2 linked regions of the Arabidopsis thaliana genome follow. The protein of the gene in region 1 purifies or fractionates together with the protein of each later gene. This does not show direct contact. Each region holds a gene or a part of one and is shown on either strand. Other genes may lie near its edges. The genes, in order: Hsp81.4 and AT1G32880.

What was found.
Region 2: the proteins of Hsp81.4 (region 1) and AT1G32880 fractionate together in Arabidopsis thaliana (co-fractionation; one large-scale study listed by BioGRID). This does not show direct contact.

The regions. Positions count from the first base shown.
Region 1 is NC_003076.8:22,673,356-22,686,653, reverse strand, and holds Hsp81.4 (HEAT SHOCK PROTEIN 81.4), read left to right. Parts: upstream 1-6,501; 5' UTR 6,502-6,586; coding exon 6,587-6,709; intron 6,710-6,968; coding exon 6,969-7,110; intron 7,111-7,217; coding exon 7,218-9,052; 3' UTR 9,053-9,316; downstream 9,317-13,298. Other genes in the region: AT5G56020 (Got1/Sft2-like vescicle transport protein family), read right to left, coding at 448-558, 1,035-1,139, 1,248-1,506, 1,851-2,068; HSP81-3 (heat shock protein 81-3), read right to left, coding at 2,743-4,577, 4,677-4,818, 5,122-5,244; CBL2 (calcineurin B-like protein 2), read right to left, coding at 13,075-13,132, 13,267-13,298. UniProt on the Arabidopsis thaliana protein: Molecular chaperone which stabilizes unfolding protein intermediates and functions as a folding molecular chaperone that assists the non-covalent folding of proteins in an ATP-dependent manner.
Region 2 is NC_003070.9:11,909,840-11,921,103, reverse strand, and holds AT1G32880 (ARM repeat superfamily protein), read left to right. Parts: upstream 1-6,368; coding exon 6,369-6,494; intron 6,495-6,652; coding exon 6,653-6,780; intron 6,781-6,878; coding exon 6,879-7,176; downstream 7,177-11,264. Other genes in the region: GBSS1 (UDP-Glycosyltransferase superfamily protein), read left to right, coding at 1-91, 195-323, 406-522; NAC13 (NAC domain protein 13), read right to left, coding at 7,412-7,821, 7,941-8,948, 9,191-9,467.

The sequences.
Region 1 (13,298 bases):
TTTTAAGGCCCAACGTATCCAATAACAGACATTTTGGGCCCAACTAAAAAAGATTTGATTGACCACTTGTCTGCAATTTGCAGTAAGAGATGTATGCCACATTGCCAGTGTAGTAAACTCAGTGAAAACATACGTGTAATAACTTTCTTAATTCTGATGTAATAATTCACAGTAAGACATTGAAGCTAACGACTTACCCTAGATTAGAGAATGTATCCACCAAGCAACTCTTCAAGTTCCATACCTCATCCAGTGGCTAGTGATTTGAAGTTTTGAACCAATTTAGCAGAAAGTATCAATATAGGAAATTTATAACAAAACTGTCTTTGAGCCATTGGACCAACATATTTTACCAGATTTGTCATTTAACCACTGTTGAAGATCTTTCATCTTTCTTTATACACGAGAGAATCAAGTTATTTTCTTTGCATAGGTCAAAGCGAAAGCTCATCTCCCAAACATTCGGAAGACAGAGGAGGTAAGAGTAGAACTGAGGAACTTCATTCCCGATGATCCACCAGGGAAATATGATATACAGTAGTACGCCAGTGCAATAACCTATGGATTCACAGAGAACAGAGACCAGGTTTTTTATGAGATTACTATACTTACAGAATGTGCAGATACGTGACTAATCTTTAAACCGACATGAAGGATATGATTTAGTGAGTTCTTAAAGTATATATTCCATATCGATAACGGGTGAGTAATAATATATCAAAGCTGTTTCTGTCGCAAGTAAGTGCATTTGCAAAAACAAGCCAAGAGACCAACCAAAGATATGGCGTTCAAGGCTTCTTCATAATTCATACTAACCCAACTTGTATTTTAAAACAGCAATAAGAAAGTCTACATGTTTTTTACTAAACACATTATGTTTCGACGAGGCAAGAGCTTACTAGATGAAACATGCAGGGTAAAAAAGAACTTCATAGGTAAGATTTGTGAAATGGGGAAGAGGAAAATTTTAACATATGAAAAACAGAGGATATAAACACCAACAAGAGTCGGGAAGGAAGATGAAATTTAAGTACCTGTAATGCAGAGAAAATCACAGAGAGAATGTAGCTATGGAGCACCATCGAGACATATATGGTGCCAACCATGGTGGCAATGAAACCTAAAGTTAGTGGAAGCCTCTGGAGAAGCCAGCAAACAAGAAATTAAAATTCCAAAGAGAAAAATGTAAACGAAATACAGCAGATATAAGAAGCTGCACAACACAAGGTTTTGTTATTAGTTATTACCTCTGCCGATGACATGTGAGCGAGTTGATTTTGCGGGCCACGAAGAGCGAAGAAAGATCCGATGATAAATCCACATCCAAGGGTAAAACAAATTGCAAACTTCTGTGGCATAAGCACCATGACTGGAAGAAACATGGTGAAGGCAATGAAGATGAAGAATACACCACTTGCTAGAAGTAAACCGAAATACATCAAAGCTTTTCCTGAAGGCATACTACTTGTTGCAGACTGCAGGTTATCTCTAACTCCTTTCGAAACACTGTTAACAATCCAGATTTGAGTACAACAAAATTCAAAATCAAAAAGTTAGTAACACTTCAAGAAAAAGATATGCTTAAGACTCTTAATCAATTCTAAGTCATTGAGAGAAGACACTAATCAAAATCATTCACTAACAATAGCTTCAAACCCTGAGAATTTGTAAATCTGATCAACGAATCTGGCAAAGCTTAAACTATATGGTTAATCACAATTTCTCAGATTCCAGATTTAATTTACACCAATCCAATCCTCAATAGCAGGCGAAAACGCCTAATTTCTCAGATACGGTCACGATCAATCGTTAAACCCCTAAAGATTAAGAGAAAGAGATGGATGGATTACACATTAAAGGTGCCGGAAACAGTGTCGTTGGCAGATCTAACGGCGGATTCGATATCGAAGCCTAAAGTTCCGGTGTCTTCTTCAAAATCTCTCGATGCTGCGTAAGAATTCCAATCAGCTAGCAGAGACGTTCCTCCTGTTTGCAGCGGTTGCTGCTGCTGATCTCCGCTGCTACTAGTGCCGCTCATCGGAAACCATCCTTTGGCCATTTTCTCCATTTCGTTGGGAATTTTTGGAGCTGAGAAATCAAAATATAGCTGAATACCGACGATCAGTGGTTTACGTCGGAGCTAAGGAAATCGGCAGACGTCAAATCGAGCGTTGATGAAGATTCTGTCAAGGGACCGTCGTCTTAAACGGCAGTGTTATTTTGCGTTGCACTACTCATATTCTAATCGTAAAAGTTATTTAAAAAAATAATAATAACCTTTAAAACTGACCAAAAAATTGTTACACAAATTATCCTTTTTAATCAAAGTAGTAACAACATTTGTGCAGAAAATTAACGCTAAGTCAAACAGTAACAACAGTATTATGTCGAACAATAAATTATTTATTATTGTAAAGAATATGTAAGCTGTGTTGTCTGAGATGCTTAACAATATGATTTGGAGCTGCTTCATGTATTTTATTAGCCATATTAGTCATACTAATAACTTAGTTATAGGCTACATAACCAAAATAAGCTTGGATTTGCAAGATTGTGCATAAGAGAACCTTTGTCATCAAACCGAATTCAGAGAAAAAATCTTCACGAAAACAAGCGATAGAAGAAATAAACTCCAGAAAATAGTTCCAAAATATTAGTTCAAACGAAAACATAAAAAAAAAAGATAAAAAGATAACCAATGTCTCAACACCCCTAATGATTAAGTCGACTGTGTGTGATAATTTAGTCAACTTCCTCCATCTTGCTACCTTCAGCATCGGCATCATCTTCAAGTGGAGGCATGTCAGCATCGGCTTCAACAACATCATCGTCATCAATGCTCAATCCAAGCTTCAACATCCTGTGAATCCTGCTCCCGAAAGTGTTGGGCTCATCGAGGCTGAAACCAGAAGTGAGAAGAGCGGTCTCAAAGAGAAGAAGTACAAGGTCCTTCACAGACTTGTCGTTCTTGTCTGCATCAGCTCTCTTTCTCAGCTCATCCATGATGGAGTTCTCTGGGTTAATCTCCATTGTCTTCTTGCTCGACATGTAGCCACCCATGCTGCTGTCTCTCAAGGCTTGAGCTTTCATGATCCTCTCCATGTTTGCAGTCCAGCCATACTCGCCTGTTACAAGACAGCAGGGTGAGTCCACAACACGGTCAGAGACGATAACCTTCTCAACCTTGTCTCCCAAAACGTCCTTGATCACTTTGCAGAGTCCCTCAAACTTCTCCTTGAGCTCTTCTTTCTTCTTCTTCTCGTCTTCAGTCTCATCCAGTTTCAGACCTTCCTTGGTTGCAGAGACAAGCTTCTTTCCTTCGAATTCCTTGAGCTGACCAATAGCATACTCATCGATAGCGTCAACCATGTAGAGAACTTCAATACCCTTCTTCTTGAGCTTCTCAAGGAATGGAGAGTTCTCAACAGCCTTCTTGCTCTCACCAGTGATATAGAAGATATCGTTCTGACCTTCCTTCATCCTTGTCACGTAGTCCTTGAGACTGGTCAATTCATCACCGCTCTTGGTTGAGTGGTAACGGAGCAACTCAGCAATCTTGGTTCTGTTTTGGGAGTCCTCATGGATACCGAGCTTCAGGTTCTTAGAGAAAGCCTCATAGAACTTGTTGTAGTCCTCCTTGTTCTCAGCAATCTCAAAGAAGAGCTCAAGACACTTCTTCACAAGGTTCTTGCGGATGACCTTGAGGATCTTGTTCTGCTGCAATGTTTCTCTTGAGATGTTGAGAGGAAGATCTTCAGAGTCAACAATACCCTTGACAAACCCAAGGTACTCAGGAATGATGTCTTCACAGTTGTCCATGATGAAGACACGACGGACATAGAGCTTGATGTTGTTGGGCTTCTTCTTAGTGTCAAAGAGATCAAAAGGAGCTCTCTTGGGAACAAAGAGGATAGCTTTGAACTCAAGCTGTCCTTCAACTGAGAAATGCTTCACAGCCAAATGCTCTTCCCAGTCATTGCTCAAACTCTTGTAGAAAGCAGCGTACTCCTCCTTGTTGATCTCCTCTGGCTTCCTCATCCAAATCGGTTTCTGCTTGTTCACCAAATCCCACTCATGAGAAACCTCCTTAATCTTCTTCTTTTTCTTCTCCTCCTTTTCTTTCTCCTCATCAACTTCCTCAACCTTGCCTTCCTCATCCTTCTTCTCTTCCTCCTCTTCATCATCAGAGATCTCCTTCTCAATGGTCTTCTCAATCCAGAGAGAGATTGGGTAGCTGATGAACTCAGAGTGCTTCTTCACCAAATCCTTAAGCCTTCGCTCCTCAATGTACTCCATCTGGTCTTCCTTGAGGTAAAGGACCATCTTAGTTCCTCTACCAAGAGCCTCACCAGAGGTGTCTCTGGTGACGGTGAAAGATCCACCGGCCTGAGACTCCCACACGTACTGCTCATCGTCATTGTGCTTGGTAGTAACAACAACCTTGTCAGCAACCAAGTAAGCAGAGTAGAAACCAACACCAAACTGTCCAATCATGCTAACATCAGCTCCAGCAGCCAACGCCTCCATGAATTCTTTGGTTCCAGATCTTGCAATTGTTCCAAGGTTGTTCACCAGATCTGAAAAATAAAACAAAAACGTATTAGCCAACACACCAAACACATAAATAATCAACGAAAACCAATACAAATTGCTTTTGACTGAAATCAATTACGTACCAGCCTTGGTCATCCCAATACCACTATCGATAATCGTCAAGGTGTTGTTAGTCTTGTCGGGAATGATGTGAATGAAGAGCTCTGGCTGACCATCGAGCTTGCTCTTGTCTGTCAAGGACTCAAACCTAATCTTGTCCAAAGCCTGTTTTCACCAGAGTAAAATCACAATCGTAAGTAACCAACCAATACACAGAACGTATATACAAATTACATATAAGCAAACTTTGTAAATCTAACAAGAGTCTGCTTAATCGTTGGTATCAACACTAAAACTAATCAACAGATTTGAACACAAACAGCTTCGCAACTTCAATTACCAACCAAAATTCTAAAATCGGCTAGAACACTAAACCCTAATCAATCCTAAATCTACAGATCGAACAGCCAGATCAATCAAACGAGACAGACAAGTATAAAATAAGGTGTAGAGAGATAGAGATCGTACATCAGAAGAGTTACTGATGAGTTCACGAAGGAAGATCTCCTTGTTAGAGTAAAAGGTATTGATGATGAGGGAGAGCAACTGGTTGATCTCAGCTTGGAAAGCAAAGGTTTCTGCGTCCGCCATTCTCGTTGATCGGAAAAAAAATCTAAGAGCTAGGGTTTATGAATCAAATCGAGAGATAAAGAGAGCAAAATTTTCTTTAGAGAGCAGAGAAGTGTTGATTGATACGAGACTTTGGGGAAGGATGTTATTATATATAGTGGTGTGGGGACTGGGAACCTATAAGGGTTTCTAGATCCTTCCTATTTGATTTATGTTAATTTGCTTTTCAGGTCCACATAATCTGCAATATAATTAAATGGAAATTACAAAATACAAAACTATTTTTTGGTAGAAAAATACAAAACTTTATTAAATTTTTTAAAATTTTATTCCCTTTTATTTTATTTTGGAGAACAGGTGTAATTTACTACTTTTTGTAACAGGTTTTAGTTTACTTCTTTTTTTTTTTGGTTAAATTTTGTAATTTACTATTTTATTTTATTGGTTGATGATAATTTACTATTTATAAAAAACAGTCAGATTTAATTCTACTCCCTTTTTATTTTGCAGAACAGGTGTAATTTACTACTTTTTTGTAACAGGTTTTAGTTTCCTTTTTTGTTAATTTTGTAATTTACTATTTTATTTTATTGATGATAATTTACTATTTTAAAAACAAAGCAATAATTTTATTTTTTGCTTACAACTTTTTTTTTCCTGTTTACAGATTGGTATGTGTATCTTTTAATAAAGTTTCAAAAAAATCAATAATTAAATAATAATATTGAAAGTTGTAAAATAAATAAATTAAAACAATAACAAAAAGAAACACATATTCTCTAAAAAGCGTGGGGTTTGTGGGGAGAAAAAATTGATTTTTTTTTTTTAACTTCAGAATTGATTAAAACTTTTTTTTTTTTTTTAACACAACTATTTATCTTGTTGTTATAAATTAAATACATAACTAAAATTTGAAATAAAATTTTGAGATATCTTGAAACTAAGGGATTAACTTTATCGATTTCAAAAAATAACCCAAAACTAGGACCGATCTAAAAAAATCTAAACATAGATAAACTAGAATGAATGGGAACTTGTAAATTCAAATCCATAACAAAATCGAATTTTGTATATGGAGAAAAACATTGTTTTTATTGATTAGTTTAGCTAATAGAAAAATTTAACAAAAAAAAAAAAAAAAAAAGTAAGTAGCACTTGTTCCAAAAAAAAGGAAAGTAAAATATTATGACAATTTTTATATTTTACAATTTCCATTATATTATGACGTCTGTTTCCACATCCCCTATATATTACACACTTTTCCCCCTTAATCAAACCATCAATACTTCTCTGCTTCTCTTAAGAATTTGCTTTTTGATTCACATAAACCCTAATTCTTAGATTTTTTTCCCGATCAACGATAATGGCGGACGCAGAGACCTTTGCTTTCCAAGCTGAGATCAACCAGTTGCTTTCCCTCATCATCAATACCTTTTACTCCAACAAGGAGATCTTCCTCCGTGAACTCATCAGTAACTCCTCCGATGTACGATCTCTCCCTCTCTGTCTTTCTATGTTTATCTTTAAGCTTAATGTGTTTGTGTATCTCCTTCGATTGATTTGACGGATCTATGTGTAGATTTAGGTTTTATTAGGGTTTAGTGTTCTTTTCGATTTGAGATTTTCGTTTGTTAATTGATGGAACCTTTTCATGTTCAAATTTGTTAGATTACTTAGTTTTTGATTGTATATATGTTGTGTGTATTTTGTTACTTATGATTGAGCTTTTTATTCTGGTGAAACAGGCTTTGGACAAGATTAGGTTCGAGTCCTTGACGGATAAGAGCAAGCTCGATGGTCAGCCTGAGCTTTTCATTCATATCATTCCGGACAAGACTAACAACACCTTGACCATTATCGATAGTGGTATTGGGATGACCAAGGCTGGTACGTAATTGATTTCATTCAAAAGCAAGTTGTACTTGATTTCATTCAAAACCATTATCTATGTGTTTGATTTGTGTTTGCTGATTCGTGTTTGTTCTATTGTACAGATTTGGTGAACAACCTTGGAACAATTGCAAGGTCTGGTACCAAGGAGTTCATGGAGGCATTGGCTGCTGGAGCTGATGTTAGCATGATTGGTCAATTTGGTGTTGGTTTCTACTCTGCTTACTTGGTTGCTGACAAGGTTGTTGTTACTACCAAGCACAACGACGATGAGCAGTATGTGTGGGAGTCTCAGGCCGGTGGATCTTTCACGGTGACCAGAGACACCTCTGGTGAGGCTCTTGGTAGAGGAACAAAGATGATCCTTTACCTCAAGGAAGACCAGATGGAGTACATTGAGGAGCGAAGGCTTAAGGATTTGGTGAAGAAGCACTCTGAGTTCATCAGCTACCCAATCTCTCTCTGGATTGAGAAGACCATTGAGAAGGAGATCTCTGATGATGAAGAGGAGGAAGAGAAGAAGGATGAGGAAGGCAAGGTTGAGGAAATTGATGAGGAGAAAGAAAAGGAGGAGAAGAAAAAGAAGAAGATTAAGGAGGTTACTCATGAGTGGGATTTGGTGAACAAACAGAAGCCTATCTGGATGAGGAAGCCAGAGGAGATCAACAAGGAGGAGTACGCTGCTTTCTACAAGAGTTTGAGCAATGATTGGGAGGAGCATTTGGCTGTGAAGCATTTCTCTGTTGAAGGACAGCTTGAGTTCAAAGCTATCCTCTTTGTTCCCAAGAGAGCTCCTTTCGATCTCTTTGACACTAAGAAGAAGCCCAACAACATCAAGCTCTATGTCCGTCGTGTCTTCATCATGGACAACTGTGAAGACATCATCCCTGATTACCTTGGGTTTGTCAAGGGTATCGTTGACTCTGAAGATCTTCCTCTCAACATCTCAAGAGAAACATTGCAGCAGAACAAGATCCTCAAGGTCATCCGCAAGAACCTTGTGAAGAAGTGTCTTGAGCTCTTCTTTGAGATTGCCGAGAACAAGGAGGACTACAACAAGTTCTATGAGGCTTTCTCTAAAAACCTGAAGCTCGGCATCCACGAGGACTCCCAAAACAGAACCAAGATTGCTGAGTTGCTCCGTTACCACTCAACCAAGAGCGGTGATGAATTGACCAGTCTCAAGGACTACGTGACAAGGATGAAGGAAGGTCAGAACGAGATCTTCTACATCACCGGTGAGAGCAAAAAGGCCGTGGAGAACTCTCCCTTCCTAGAGAAGCTCAAGAAGAAGGGTTACGAAGTCCTCTACATGGTTGACGCTATTGATGAGTATGCTATTGGTCAGCTCAAGGAATTCGAGGGAAAGAAGCTTGTCTCTGCAACCAAGGAAGGTCTGAAGCTGGAAGAGACTGATGACGAGAAGAAGAAGAAAGAAGAGCTCAAGGAGAAGTTTGAGGGACTCTGCAAAGTGATTAAGGACGTTTTGGGAGACAAGGTCGAGAAGGTTATCGTCTCTGACCGTGTGGTGGACTCACCTTGCTGTCTAGTAACAGGCGAGTATGGCTGGACTGCAAACATGGAGAGGATCATGAAAGCTCAAGCTTTGAAGGATAGCAACACGGGTGGTTACATGTCAAGCAAGAAGACAATGGAAATTAACCCAGAGAACTCGATCATGGATGAGCTGAGAAAGAGAGCTGAAGCGGACAAGAACGATAAGTCTGTGAAGGATCTTGTGCTTCTTCTCTTTGAGACCGCTCTTCTCACCTCTGGTTTCAGCCTTGATGAGCCCAACACTTTTGGAAGCAGAATCCACAGGATGTTGAAGCTTGGATTGAGCATTGAAGAGGATGATGCCGTTGAAGCTGATGCTGAGATGCCTCCGCTTGAAGATGATGCTGATGCTGAAGGTAGCAAGATGGAGGAAGTCGACTAAATATTGCACAAAGTCGACTAATATTAGCGGTGTTAAGAGTTTTGGTTCTATCGTTTTACATATCTTTGAGAATTTTTTTCTGCTGTAGTTTCTTTCTTATCTTGAAGCTTTTTCTCTGAACTCGGTTTTATGAAAAAGATTTTTTTATGCGAAAGGAACTCTGTTTCTAGCAAATCCAAGCTGATTTTTTGTCAGGTCATATAACTTAGTTATGACCATATTTTGCTAACCAGAATTACGCTAATCATATCTCACACAAAACCGTTACATACAGTGGTCATATATTAATGTAAGTATATAACAATATTAGTGTTTATTTAACTAAAATAAATTTTATTGCTGATCTTTTTAAAAATTATTTTTGCTATTACATGTTTTTAATAAAAGAAAGCTAAGAAACATATCATTATTGCTATAAACCCCACTAATTATAGTTGTTTTGAAAATAATATAGTTATTTTTTTGTAAAAGATATACATGTAACTTCAGCATTTTCATCGTTTTCTATTTTTGAAACTAATCAAAAATAATAGTAAGAAAAAAACTTTTATGAAATATATATAACTTATTTTCTCAATATCTCTTTAGTATATTGATTAATTTATGCTTCTTAAGCCATATTATTTTTAATTTAAAGCCATATATAAAATAATTATAAGAAAATTGAAACAATAATTGGCAAAAAGATGCAAATTCCAGGTTAATTGAATCAGATGCAGATACAAAATTTGTAATTATAATGAAATCGTAAAAACATTAAATGAATTAAAGAGAAAAAAAATACGACGTAGGGTGCAAAGAGGAGATTTCATCTCAACGCATGGGGGTCATATTAGAGATTTGAAGCCAAATGATTTATCGAATAAACTTTAAAAAAGTTTTTTTATAAATGTCATGGGGGTCAGTTGACCCCCCTCCTATATAACTGCCTCCGCCCCTGGTTACATAATATAGAACAATTTCTTGGCACATGGACCTAAGATTGACACACATACAAATTATATTATACTGTACCATAGAAAATATACAATTATCTATATGTAACAAACAACTATATATAAGATGATTAAAATATATGTAATGATAGAATTCTATTATAATATAATGTTGTATACGTTTATCTATACACAGTTGATAAAATTTTCCAAAATAAACCATAAATTTAAAACTTTACAAATACTCATCTTACGTAATATATTAATATATGATAGCTTGAAATAGCCAAATTAACTATAACAAACAACTGTGATGGCATATTGCCGTGCAACAGACAAGTATTTACCTAGTTTACATGTTATTACATGATATTTTGTTGAAATTATTTTTGAATTTTAATAATTAAAATACTAATTTTTGTAGTTTTTTCTAATTTTTTTTAATTTTATATAGTTTAGAGTTATAATCTATTATTTTTCTTCCTTACAATAAACAAGAGAATTAATTGTTTTATTGTAGAGTTTCTACAAAGTTGTTTTAAATAGCATTTTTAGTTAATATTTATGTTGAAGACTATAAATTGTTTAAAACAATTATCATTAGTTCTCATTAATTATTTACATATGATTTATATTTAAATCGCTAAAAATATGATTATCATGTGTTTAATTCAACTTTAAAAGCACATTAACATCAATCAATCATTAATAGATCGAATGAGCTTGATGTTTTAGTTGGTCTTATAAATTAATTTCCCCGATAAACAAAAACAAATTCTCTCCGACCAGATAAAACATTACATGGTGATGCTTCAAACTAAAGTTAGCTTCATTACATCTAACAATTTCGACATTTCTGTGATCGAAGCTCGAAGTTAAATCAAACATAGTTTCTTTGGATTTTAGCTATCGTTTCCAAGGCAAATCTCTCATATTTTTTTAACCATAAAAAATAATCTTTTATACTCTTTTTATTCTTTCAAACCAATTAATCTTTTCCTATGAGGAGATTTTAGTTATTTGTGTGAGCATAGTTATGAAAACATGTAGACAATAATTGAAACCCAAATGTAAAAGGTCCAAATTTAAAGTTTTTGTGGTTTAAAGCATAAAATTGATTTTCAAACAATATTCATGTAAAAAATAATGTATAAAAAATAAAAACTAAATCATATTAATGAAATATTCTTATTGAAAGAGAAAAAAGCTGAAGAGAGTGCGTGAAGTATGGTTGTTGGGTTGAGTTGGCTTTTAGAAGCATTATTTGATCTTGAAGTTGAGTTTGTGTCTAGTATGGCTGAAGATAAGATGAAGAGTAAAAACTGTTTTTTCAAAATGAAAAGTGTTTGGTAGTATATATTTCTTGGAGAAAGAGATAGTCTACATAGAGCGTGAAGAACTTTTAGAAGAAGTTTCTTATTTCAGTCTTGTAAAGAAAAACAAGAAGAATGGTCTTCCATCTCGTTTATATGATTTATTTTTTATACGCTAAAAATATGATTGATCATGTGTTTTATTCAATTTTAAAAGCACATTAACATTAATCAATCATTAATAGATCTAATGTGCTTGATGTTTTAGTTGGTCTTATAAATTAATTTCACCGATAAATGAATTTTTTTTTCTCCGGCGAGATAAAACATTACATGGTGAGGCTTCAAGCTAAAGTTGGCTTCATTACATCTAACAATTTCGACATTTTTATGTACGAAACTTGTAGTTATATCAAGCTTAGTTTCTTTGAATTTTAACTATCGTTTCCAAGGCAAATCTCTCATATTTTTTAACCATAGAAAAATAATCTTTTATACTCTTTTTATTCTTTCAAACCAATTAATCTTTTTTCTATGAGGAGATTTTAGTTATTTGTGTGAATATAGTTATGAAAACATGTAGACAATAATTGAAACCTAAATGTGAAAGGTCCAAACTTAAACTTTTTTGTGGTTTAAAGCATAAAATTAATTTTCAAAAATATATATGTCAAAATGATGTATATAAAATAAAAACTAAATCATATTAATGAAATATTCCTTTGAAAGATAAAAAAGCTGAAGAGACGGCATGAAGTATGGCTATTGAGTTGAGTTGGCTTTAGAAGCACTGTTTGATCTTGAAGTTGAGTTTGCGTCTAGTATGGCCGAAGATAAGATGAAGAGTAAAAGTTGCTTTTTCTAAATGAAAAGCGCTCCTTGGAGAAAGAGATAGTCTACATGGAGCGTGAAGAACTTTTAGAAGAGGTTTCTTATTTCAGTCTTGTGTAGCAAAACAAGAAGAATGGTCTTCCTTCTCCTCAAGAAAGAACATGGAAGTCATTGAAGCATAAATGAGTCATTCTTCCATTGCCTTACTACAAACACAATGTTCCCCTCATCTACAATGGATGGGAAACTTGATTGGCAAGTCACTTCCTTTTGTATTAATGTAGGGTTCTTGGTGAGGGAAAATCGCTAATTCTTCAATTAGGTTTTTTTTCCCTTTTCTCACCTCTTCTTCTTTTTGGAAGAACATTATTCATGTCTCTGCTTCTCAACCATCCCCCGAAGCTCTGCTTTCGTATACCCTTGTTGGTAAGATCATCTCCTCTTCTCTCTAATGGCGTCTCATCGAAGATCCACTTTTTGTCATCATGTAAGTTGATTCTTGTGGAGCTGATCTCGGAAAACTCGTCATTAGGAGGGCTGGTGACATCACTCAGTTTTGACTAGTTTTGCTTACAAGTCACATATGAAATGACTAGTTTTGCTTGCAATCTAGAAATCCATTGAATTAATATTAAAAGCTAACTCTAATAACCAAAACACAGAGATTGAAGCAAATCTTTTTAATTGGATTAATAAATAAACTGAAAAACTTTACATTACCATAACATCAAGATGCAAAAGTTGTATCTACAGATAGACCGAGCGAAATCAAAAAGGACAAAAACCAAACTAAAAAGAAGAATTTTGCTTCACAAAAAAAGCTCAATAAAAAATAAAATGAGTTCAGAGATTTAGAAATGTAACAAATAAAGAACCATAACGAAAGAACAACCTTCAACAATACAATGATGTCTTGCCGCTGCTTGCTTTTGCTTTTGCTTTTTCAGGTATCTTCAACCTGAGAATGGAACACAAAGCTTGGAAACGTAGTCGTGATATCCCTGCAGAGCAAGCACACAACAGGATCACGACCTTTATTACATATCATGGAGAATAGAAGAAAGAGAAACCAGAGAAGGAATTTGGTTGAATAGATTCAATCCTGGTTATATAAATAGAAAGATTTGGAACTCACTTGAGATATTGAAGAGTCATGTTCTTCAGAAG
Region 2 (11,264 bases), on another chromosome or scaffold:
AACCGTCCCTATTGTGGCATCTACTGGTGGACTTGTGGACACTGTGAAAGATGGCTACACAGGTTTCCACATTGGAAGATTCAACGTCAAGGTAACTCAAAATCACCAGCTTTTCGCGCTTTTTCTACAACAGTTTCTTTCGACATGACAACAAATTGATCTAAAATGAGTTACCATTTTGCTTTGTTATATAGTGTGAAGTTGTGGATCCAGATGATGTGATAGCAACAGCAAAGGCTGTGACAAGAGCCGTTGCAGTATATGGAACATCCGCAATGCAAGAAATGGTCAAGAACTGCATGGACCAAGACTTCTCCTGGAAGGTCAGTGATTCAGTTCATTCTAAAGTTTGAAACTTTGTTTATATTGAGTTGTTGACATCAATCTTGATTTGATGTTATGCAGGGACCTGCGAGGTTGTGGGAGAAGGTACTATTGTCCCTTAATGTGGCGGGAAGTGAAGCCGGAACCGAGGGTGAAGAGATAGCTCCTCTGGCCAAGGAGAACGTAGCGACGCCGTGAGAATATGACTTTTGTTTTGTGTCAAAGTGGTTTGAAGAAAGCGTTGGGAAGTTAGGAGTAGGGAAGGTTGAGGAAAAGTAATGTATATTGGAAATGTTAGAGTCTAATATAATAATAAAAAAACTTTGTGAACACAATCAATCATATATAAGTTTATCATCACAATCAATAAAAAATGGTAGAATTTTACAGAATAGTTTCAATTTATTGTCACAATAATGTTTAACACATAAACACAATCAAACTAATAAGAAGATAAAATTTGAATGTAAGGAGGATATATGGAGGGAAAACGGTTAAGAAGAAGAAGAAACCGTTTCTTTTCTTGTTCGCTACGTCACAAATCTTGCTCAAATGCAAGATTCTTTACCTCTTTCACATTTCAGTTTAGATTTCTCGGGTTTATCTTCAAGTTTTGTGAATTGCTTAGGAGAGAAGTCAAAGAAGAGAGAAAGCCACGTCACTAAAACCCAAATCTTGGTCTAAAAACGATCTCACAAGTAAACAATCTCTGGTGATTTCTAGATGGACGACGAAGCCATGATCGCTGCCATTCAAGCTGGTGTTTGGTCAGAAGATCCTCTAACACAGCTTGCATGCACTACCGATATCAGGAAGCTTCTATCACAGAGTAAATCAAATCTATGGTTGACGGAAACTTACAGTTATTCTTTTTTGCTCTGCTGACGTGGAGGCGAAAACAGAGGCGACTAGGGTTTTTGCTTTCTCTTCACGCATGTTACCGTCGGCGGCTTCTTTAAGCCAGCCTGGCGGCTCGCCGGTGGCCGGATTAGGTGGTTCTCCTCCTCCAGTGATCGTTTCGAGTCAAGAGGTTGGTCAGAAGGAGAGGAACGCAGAAGAGATCTCAGCTACAGGCTCGGGAACAAGTGTAGGGGTAGGGGAAACTTATTCAAAAATCAATCAGGAAGCATCGTCCATTCAAGGGAAAAGGAATCAGATCGGGAAGCCATCTTGGGTCAACGTTGCAAAAAAACATATCTTCTCTCAGCAAAAGTTTGTGGTATCAGAGATAGATGGTAAGGAGAAGGTAGTAGTTCCAAAGGATGTGTTTGCAGGTGCAAAACCTCTATGGGAAGATTTCTTGATTGGAAAGTTTCTGAATACTAAGGCCCCTCACGTGGGGAAAATCCATATGATTGTGAACAAGATTTGGAGATTGGGAGACCGTTCTTCACTTATAGATGTGTTTGAAGTTAATCAGTCTACAGTGAAGTTTCGTATAAGAAACGAAGGTATGAGGCAGAGGATTTTGAATAGAGGAATGTGGAACATCACGGATATCCCTATGATAGTATCAAAGTGGACCCCTTTTGCAGAGGAGGCTCAGCCGGCGATGAAATCAATACCTTTATGGGTCACTCTCACCAATGTCCCACCAATGATGTTTACAGACAAGGGGTTGGAGTTTCTAGCAAGTGCAGTTGGTAAACCAATCCGTCTACATCCTAAAACAGATGTGTGCGTCTGTTTTGATGAAGCTCAGATTATGGTAGAGGCTGACTTAACGAAAGAATTACTAAAGGAGTACAACTTTACAGGAGAAGAGGAAGGTGAGCTAGACTCTGTCATTAAGTACTCTTACCCATGGTTACCACCAAGGTGTGGCTGCTGTAAAAAATGGGGTCATCTACGTGAAACTTGTCTTTCTCCGGAGAACAAGTCCACTCTGGATACCTCAGCCCTGGATTTGTTGAAAGTTAATGACGTAGTGACAAACATGGACACATCTCCAGGTCTGCAAATTGTTTCAGAACAGCCTGCACATGTAGAGTGTGATTTGCAGCTTCAAGAAAAGGATCTAGCGGCAAAAAGTAGTGATGGTGCACAAATAGAAGCGGTATGAATTAATAATAAGATGGATGAGGGTTGGATCACGCCGGCTAATACAGGACGTAGTCCGGGGAAAACAGAGGGTCTTAAGTACGGTGAGGTTTCTATCCTCTCTAACTCGTTCTCTGCCTTGGGTGAAGAGGAAGTTATGGGAGCAGTAGAAGCAACAGAGGAGGTAGCGGAAAAGGTAGACCAGGAGCCTGCTTTGGTTGTGACAGATACAAGAATTACGATTTCAAGGGAGGTTGAGGACACGGAGCTCTTAACTCGAGGAGATAAGGAGGTCCTTTTGCGTTCGTCTTTACCTCGTGCATCTAAAACTGCTCATAAAGCGATCCCACATAACTCTTCTCATTCAGCAAGGGGTCCCCCTAAAGATCAGACCAAGAAACCCCCTCTTAAACGTTGTTAATGTCGGGGTTCTCATGGAATGTTAGAGGGTTAAATAAGTCATCAAAGCATTCTGTAATAAAGAAGTGGGTGAAGGAAACGCCTTTTCAGTTTGGATGTCTTTTAGAGACAAGGGTTAAGGAGCATAAAGCAGAAAGTTTGCAGAGTAAATTGTTTAAGGATTGGTCGATCATAACAAATTATGAACACAATTCAAGAGGCCGCATTTGGGTTATGTGGCGTAGTAGTACAAGGCTTAGTCCCTTTTATAAGAGTGCTCAGTTGGTAACCTGCTCGGTTAAGCTTGACAACCATCAAGAAGAATTCTTTTGTTCTTTTGTGTACGCTATGAACACTGCAGAAGATCGTAAGATTTTGTGGCAGGAACTGAAAGACCATTCTGATTCACCTATTATTCGGAAACGACCGTGGATAATTTTTGGAGATTTCAATGAAACTTTGGATATCGAAGAGCACTCTCTTGCGGATAGTTATCCTGTGGTCACTGCAGGTATGAAGGATTTTCAACAAACGGTGAGCTATTGTTCGATAACTGATATGGCTTCGCAGGGTCCACTTTTTACGTGGTGTAACAAGCGAGAAAATGATCTCATAATGAAAAAACTGGACCGGGTGTTAATAAATGACGTTTGGCTGCAAACTTTCCCGCAATCCTATTCTACATTTGAGGCTGGAGGTTGTTCGGATCACTTGCGCGGACGAATAAACTTAAGAAGAGAAAAAGGGAGTCAGGCGAAAGGTCGAAAACCTTTCAAGTTCGTTAATGTCCTTGCAGAATTACATGAGTTCCAGCCAATGATAGATAACTATTGGAAGAATACTGAGTCGTTATTCTTGTCTACATCCACTCTTTTCCGGTTCAACAAGAAGCTAAAGGGTCTTAAGCCTGCGTTAAAGTTGCTCGCAAAAGACAGAATTGGTAACCTAGTGAAGAAATCAAAAGAAGCATATGAAGTTTTGTGTAAGAAACAAGAGGCAAACTTATCAAAACCCTTCATTGCAGAATATGGAAGCAGAGAATGCGGCTTATAACCGATGGGAGTTTGTGTCAGATCTAGAAGAAAAATATCTAAAACAAAAATCAAAGTTGCATTGGATGAAAGTGGGTGATAAGAACAACAAGACTTTTCATCGAGTTGTGGTAGCTAGGGAGACAAATGAATCAGATCAAGGAAATTCAATGTGCAGATGGTAGCATTGTAAAGGGTGATGAGATAAAAGTGGAGGCTGAGAGATTCTTTAGAGAATTTCTGCATTTTATCCCAGAGGACTATGCAGGCTGCGATGTTAGTGAGCTTCAGAACTTGCTACCTTTTCGTTGTTCTGAATCTGATCAAGAGCTGCTTACTCGTGAGGTGTCTGCGGAGGAGATACAGAGGGTTCTGTTTTCAATGCCGAAGGACAAATCTCCGGGACCAGATGGTTATACCACAGAGTTCTATAAGGCAACATGGGCTACCATAGGACTTGAATTCATTTTGGCAGTTCAATCTTTTTTTCTAAAAGGTTTCCTTCCAAAAGGAATAAACTCAACTATTTTAGCTCTGATTCCAAAGAAGCTAGAAGCTAAGGAAATGAAGGATTATAGACCTATTTCATGCTGCAACGTAATCTATAAGGTAATTTCTAAGATCATTGCTAACAGATTGAAAGTGCTTCTGCCAGAGTTTGTTGCGGGAAATCAGTCGGCGTTTGTAAAAGACAGATTACTCATCGAAAATCTGTTACTTGCTACGGAACTAGTCAAGGACTATTATAAAGATTAAGTCTCTACCCGTTGTGCTATTAAAATAGATATCTCGAAGGCGTTTGACTCGGTCCAATTGGCTTTTCTGCTGAATGTTTTATTGGCTATGAATTTTCCTGCGGTTTTTATACATTGGTTAAAACTGTGTATTACTACGGCCTCTTTTTCAGTCCAAGTAAATGGCGATCTCGCTGGTTATTTCCAAAGTGCAAGGGGTTTACGTCAGGGTTGCTCTCTCTCGCCATATCTGTTTGTCATAAGCATGGATGTCCTCTCAAAGATGTTGGATAAGGCTGCCGGAGCTCACAAGTTTGGTTTCCATCCTCATTGTCAACGTTTAAAGCTCACTCATCTAAGTTTTGCAGATGATTTGATGGTTCTAACGGATGGTAAGGTTAGATCCATATAGGGTATAGTGAAGGTTTTTGATGAGTTTTATAAGTACTCTGGGTTAAAAATAAGTATGGAGAAGTCGACAATGTATATGGCAGGAGTATCACCTTTAGTGAAAGCAGAGATTGCAGCTCTTTTCCCTTTTGATATAGGTCAATTGCCAGTTCGATACTTAGGTTTGCCTCTTGTTACTAAGAGACTCATGGCTGAGGATTATGATCCTCTTCTTGAGCAGATTAGGAAACGCATCGCGTCGTGGACTTCACGCTACCTCTCATATGCAGGTAGCTCAACTTGATTCAATCTATCCTCTGGAGTATTTGCAATTTCTGGCTAGGCGCTTTTCGTTTACCGAGACAGTGTATCCGAGAGATTGACAAGATTTGCTCCGCTTACCTATGGTCGGGTTTAGAACTGAGTTCAAAGAAGGCAAAGATATCGTGGGAAAAAGTTTGTAAGCCGAAAATAGAGGGGGGTTTGGGTTTGCGAAGCTTGACAAAAGCTAATGATGTTTGTTGTTTAAAGTTGGTCTGGCGAATCATTTCTAATAGCAAGTCTTTATGGGTTCAATGGGTCACCACATACCTTCTTAGGAGGAAGCATTTTTGGACATTGAAGCAGAATACAAATGCAGGCTCTTGGATTTGGAGAAAAATACTAAAGTACAGAGACAAGGCGAAATAATGTGTACAATGCATCATTCTCTACCAAAGAAACGTGGCACCATATCAGAGCTCCTTCTCCCACAGTCCCCTGGTACAACGGGGGTTGGTTCAATCACGCCACACCAAAGTTTTCGTTTTGTACTTGGCTCGCGGTCCAAGATAGGCTCTCAACAGGGGAGCATATGGTTAAATGGAACAGAGGAGAATCGGGTCTCTGTGTGTTTTGTACTAACACTATGGAAACTCGTGATCATTTGTTTTTCTCCTGCAACTATGTCTCGACAATTTGGGGTGACGTAGCTAAGAAGCTATGGAAGACCAGATTCACAAAGGAATGGCCACAAATTCTGGCCTATGTTTCAGACAAGTCATTACAGCGAGTCGATGGTTTCTTAATCCGGTATGTCTTTCAAGCTACAATACACACAGTTTGGAGAGAGAGGAATGGGCGTCGTCATGGAGAAACACCGAACACCACGTCACACTTGATAACTTGGATAGATAAGCAGGTGATCGAAGATATGACAAGGGCAACGTACAGCTCACTCTAAACATTCTCTAAACACCTTTAATTTCTAACTATTTTTTTTCTCAGCTTTTCTCATTTTGCTAAACGTTGCACGAGTTGTAAAAACGTTTTGTTTTTTTTTGAATATAATTTAACATTTTTTCAAAAAAAAAAGAAGAGTAAATCAAATCTCTCTTTTACTCTTTTTCTTGATCGATTTGAAAGATTCTTCATTCACTCGAATGTTTCTTATATTACATGTGCAGAAGATATGCGTAATGTTTCTTATATTACATGTGCAGAAGATATGCGTGGTCCTATCGAAACAGTGATACGATCTGGAGCTGTACATCGTCTCATTCAGTTTCTTCTCGATGAAAGTTTCCCTAAGCTTCAAGTTAGAAGAAAAATTTCCCCCATCAAGTTGATGTTTTTATTGATGATCAGTGTAATCTTTGATTCTGATATATATACAATGATTCAGGTGCACAACATAAAACAATTTGTCTATTTGCTATCTCACTAAACTAAACTGTTTTCCCCTGGTGATAACAGTCAGTAATCGATGCAAATTTGATTCCAACCTTGGTCAAACTGACTCAGAATGCTGAATTTGACATGAAGAAAGAATCTGTATGCGCAATTTCAAATGCGACCTTACTTGGTTCTCATGATCAAATCAAGTACGTCCCTGTCTTATTTCTTTCTTTTTGCACTTTCAACTTAACATGCTTATAGATGATCATCAAAGTCACAATCTCCATTTATTGGTGTGATTCAGATACATGGTGGAGCAGAGCTGCATCAAACCTTTATGTGATATCCTGTTTTGTCCAGATGTAAAAACCATCTTAAAGTGTCTGGATGGAATGGAAAACACATTGAAGGTTGGAGAGGCTGAAAAGAACGCAGGAGACGACGTGAGCTGGTATACTCGACTGATCGAAGCGGAAGGGCTAGATAAGATTTTGAACCTGCAAAGACACGAAAACATCGAGATCTACGACAAGGCTTTGAAGATTCTGCAGACTTACTGGCTTGAAGAGGATGATGAGGATATACAACAACCTCCAAGTTAATAATCTAGTTAAGTAACATCATTTGTTCAAATATCCTAAAAGATAAGAAAATTCTTTTGCTTATTTCTATTGGTACTTTTTTAACAATACCAGAGAAAACTTCCAAGCATAAACTGTGATACTAAACAGCTTCTGAATCTAATAATCCAAGAGAATAATTACAATGACTTGACTCTCTAATGGTTCACACAAAACCAAGCCTTTATGTCTCTTAACCTCTTGGATTTTTCGGTTCTCACCATAACAAAGGCCTCCCTGAACCTCCCATTGTTCCTATGATCACCCAAAACAAAGCACATAAAGCCCCAATGATCGATAAGCAAAAGAAACCTTTGTTCTTCTTCTTCTTCTTATCGTTGTTTCCTCCAGACTTGTTCCTCTTCACTGCTGAGTCACTATCCATAACAACAACATTATTACCTGTGCTTTTAGAAGTAAACCTGAAACGACCACCACTGGTTGACATTCTAACAAGGTTCAGCTTCACAAATGGATTCTCTGATGCATATGCTGGCTTTGCAGGAATGGATTCCAGGAAAGTCCATACACTAGAAGCAAACTTACTAGACTCGTCTTTTGACGGGTCATCTTCATTAGTTGTACTTATACCAGAAGGAACAGGGTTTAGGAATTCAGATGAATCACCTGTCAAGGGAATATGATTAGGATAAGAAGCCAGTCGCTTTCCTCACAATTAGATAGAATATTTAGTATGCGAGTGAAAAGAGGTATCTACAGGAAAATCTGTTAGTGCTTTCAAGTACCTGTACCAGGCGCCTCACCAAACCGGGTAACGGTAAGTCCGTCATTGTTTAGCTCCTGCACCCACGATGATCCATTGTTTATCTGTCTGGTATAGCTGTTACGGAGTGGCCAGTTACTAGCTTGGTTCTTCCCTGATTGCTGCTGGAACTGGTTATTATTGGCCTGGTAAGTCATTAAAGAAGTATTCACCTGAAGACTTTGTGCAAACCCATTTTTCAAATCACCACTAACAAAATCTAACTGAGGATTTGTCACTCCCAAATCAAGGAAATATGAATCAGCACCAACGAAATCATCATCATTCAGGAGACCAGAACCATCCTCGTTCCAGTTATTCTCCATGACTTCCACAGAAGTTGGTTCAGGTTCAGGTTCCATAAGATCATTGATTTCCAAATACATATCTTCCTCCAGGTTCTCCAGATTATACGTGTCTACATGAGAGTTCAGTCCAGACACCCCATTCTGCTGCAATGTTGGACCAGACTGATCTCTAACCTGACTCATCAGCTCTTCAATATCATTATCATCCAATTCAGATTGGTTAAGCCCTTTCCCCCATAAACTATTATCAACACTAGCCGAAACAACGAGCTGATTAGCAGGCTCATCAACATCATCATCATCATCTTCAGCCCATTCTTCTTCAATAAAAGGAGCTCCATATTGCTCACCATTCTTAGGACCAGACCCACTTTTCTTATAAATCTTGTAAAGAACATAAGCATCCTTAACATCTTCACCACCACACCTCTTGAGCTCCTCTTTGTGCAATGTATACTCATGCATCACCCAATTAGTCCGTTCGCCATTAGGTGCCCTGCCTCTATGGAAAACAAGAGTCTTCTTCTCTCCAACGGGTCTCGAATCACAATGAATGACTCTATCCTTCCCTGTTGCTTTCCAATAGCCACGTTCAGTAGCTCTACTTGACCTACTTCCATGTTTCCTATCCCTTAAGCTGAAAAAGAACCATTGACGATCTCTAGTCTTATACAACGCTTTCTCTACACAAAAAAAAAGAGTCCATTTTTAAAGTCAGAAGCTAAAAAAAAAAAAACCTTTAGAGTGTAAATCAATCAACCATACATACATATGTAACAATCATGCTTGTTCAAATTGAGCAATCTATGAATGAAACAGATAAAAATCGAAACTTGAAAACAGAGCAAAACATTCCAATTTTGAGGTAAACGAAAGCAAATCAAATGAATTAAAGAGTAAGGAGAAGATTTGAAATGAAGGGTACCAGGTAATTCCTCAGGATCAAACTTATAGACATCAGTCTCGCCGATTGCTTCGACTCTGAGTTTTTTCCGACGGATCTTTCTTTTGAGATAATAGACGACAAGTTCTTCGTCCGTCGGATGAAACCTAAAACCTGGAGCTAAACCTCCGTTCTCAACCGACAAGTCCATCACTTTTTTCTCTCTCGTTATCACAAAAAAAAAAACCCTAAAAAGTTTCGATTTTTCTGTACCAAATGGAAGAAGAGTCTTATTCTGCGGAAATATTTTATTTTTCATTTAATTTAATTGGTGTTTTTTCCTTGGAGAAGAAGGTTTGGCTTACAGAGACGACACGTAGCATCTTTGTTTGCGGAATTATTTTACTTTTCATTTCATTTAATTGTTATTTTCTTTTTCCTTCTGGAGAAGTAGAAGGTTTGGCTTCGAGAGACGTCGTTTTTTCGGGTCGGATACCCATTTAGATTCAAATCGGTATTCCAAATTTTCGGAATTTTGGATTTGAGATAGAAAATCTGTTTGGATATATTTTAGATTTTGGGTTCGGATTAAATGTTTTAATTTCTAATTCGGATTCATCAAAATTTCCAAAAATCAAATATTTCATAACTAAATATATTTAAACTACTCAAAAATATAAAGAATATATATATAAAAAACCCAAAACATTTTTTTAACCAAATTTATTCAAAAATAATTAACTATTTAAAATATTTTAAACATTCAAAAATCCGCATGTTTTGACACTTGATTATTAAAAATATAAATATTAATAATATATTATTACTATGTATTTAAATTGTAGATATGTTCCGATATCAGTTCGAATTCGATTTTTGGATTTTGAAATATAGAATTTGTTCATGTATTTTGAAATTTTGAATTTAGATTCGGATCAGATACTCGGATTCGAATATTATGCCTAACTCTAAACGACACGTAAGATTAGAAACTTGATTATAATAAGCGTGATATTTTATTTAGTAATAATAAATTCATCGGCCTACAAAAACTGTGGGTTTTTTTTTAGATGTCCATGATTTCTCCAAATGACTAGAACACAACCGAAGTATTTGAGAATTTTGTTGAGCTCTTGTATATACAGAAAATAACCCATTGGATGTGTTATTTGAGTTTAGTGTTATATTATATTTGAAAGATTTGACTATCTACCATTTATGTTGTATCTTTTCTTCAATTATATATTATAATATATATTTTTAAAGAGTACATAGTTATGTTTTTATTTTATTTTTTTAGAGATGGAGAGAAAGATGAAGCAGCATCATCATCAGATGTGAAAAAGATTGAGTTTACCTTGTTCTATATTAAGAGGTGTTTTAATGTTCTTGCGCAATTCTCTTTCAAATTGAAATGGTTTGTACTTTGTGCCATTACGATTGATATGCTCTACTGGTATCAAGGATTGAGATTGGAAAATTTTAGGTGTCATTATCAAATTGATTGCAAATGGAGAAGATTAGCTGTTTGTCAAAACTTATAGTATTACAATCATGTTCTATTTTTATTTTTCTTAATATCTAGAAGTTCAATAATGAAGATTTTATATTTTTTAGAAGTGAAATCCATATTAAGTTAAATTCATCTTTTTTAGAAAATAAATCATTTTCAACGTACGTCGAACACAATACTTTCATCTGAAAAATTTACCACTAGCTAACACCACGTTGATTACAATCGGGTTTTATTGTTGTATACAAACTATTTTACGTAAATTATGTGTTTTTTGATTAATGTTATGGTTGAACAAAAATGAATTTGTTCTTCGTTCAATACTTATTTAGATAACACCATGGTGAAAGAAATTGTAAAGTTTTTTTTGCTATTTTGGTGGGGTTTTGGCTTCTTTTATTTGGACTTTATTTTTTATTTTCTTTTGGTCTTAATTTCCAGAATTTCTTCATTCTCTGATGGTCTCTTGTACTTTTATTTGAAAATTTAAATTAAATTAAGGTGAGAAAATAAAAGATTACTCAATTTTAAAATAGCACTTAAAATGCTTTTCTCTTGTCTAAATATTTAAAGTTTCGCAAGAAACAATTTGTACCGAGAAAA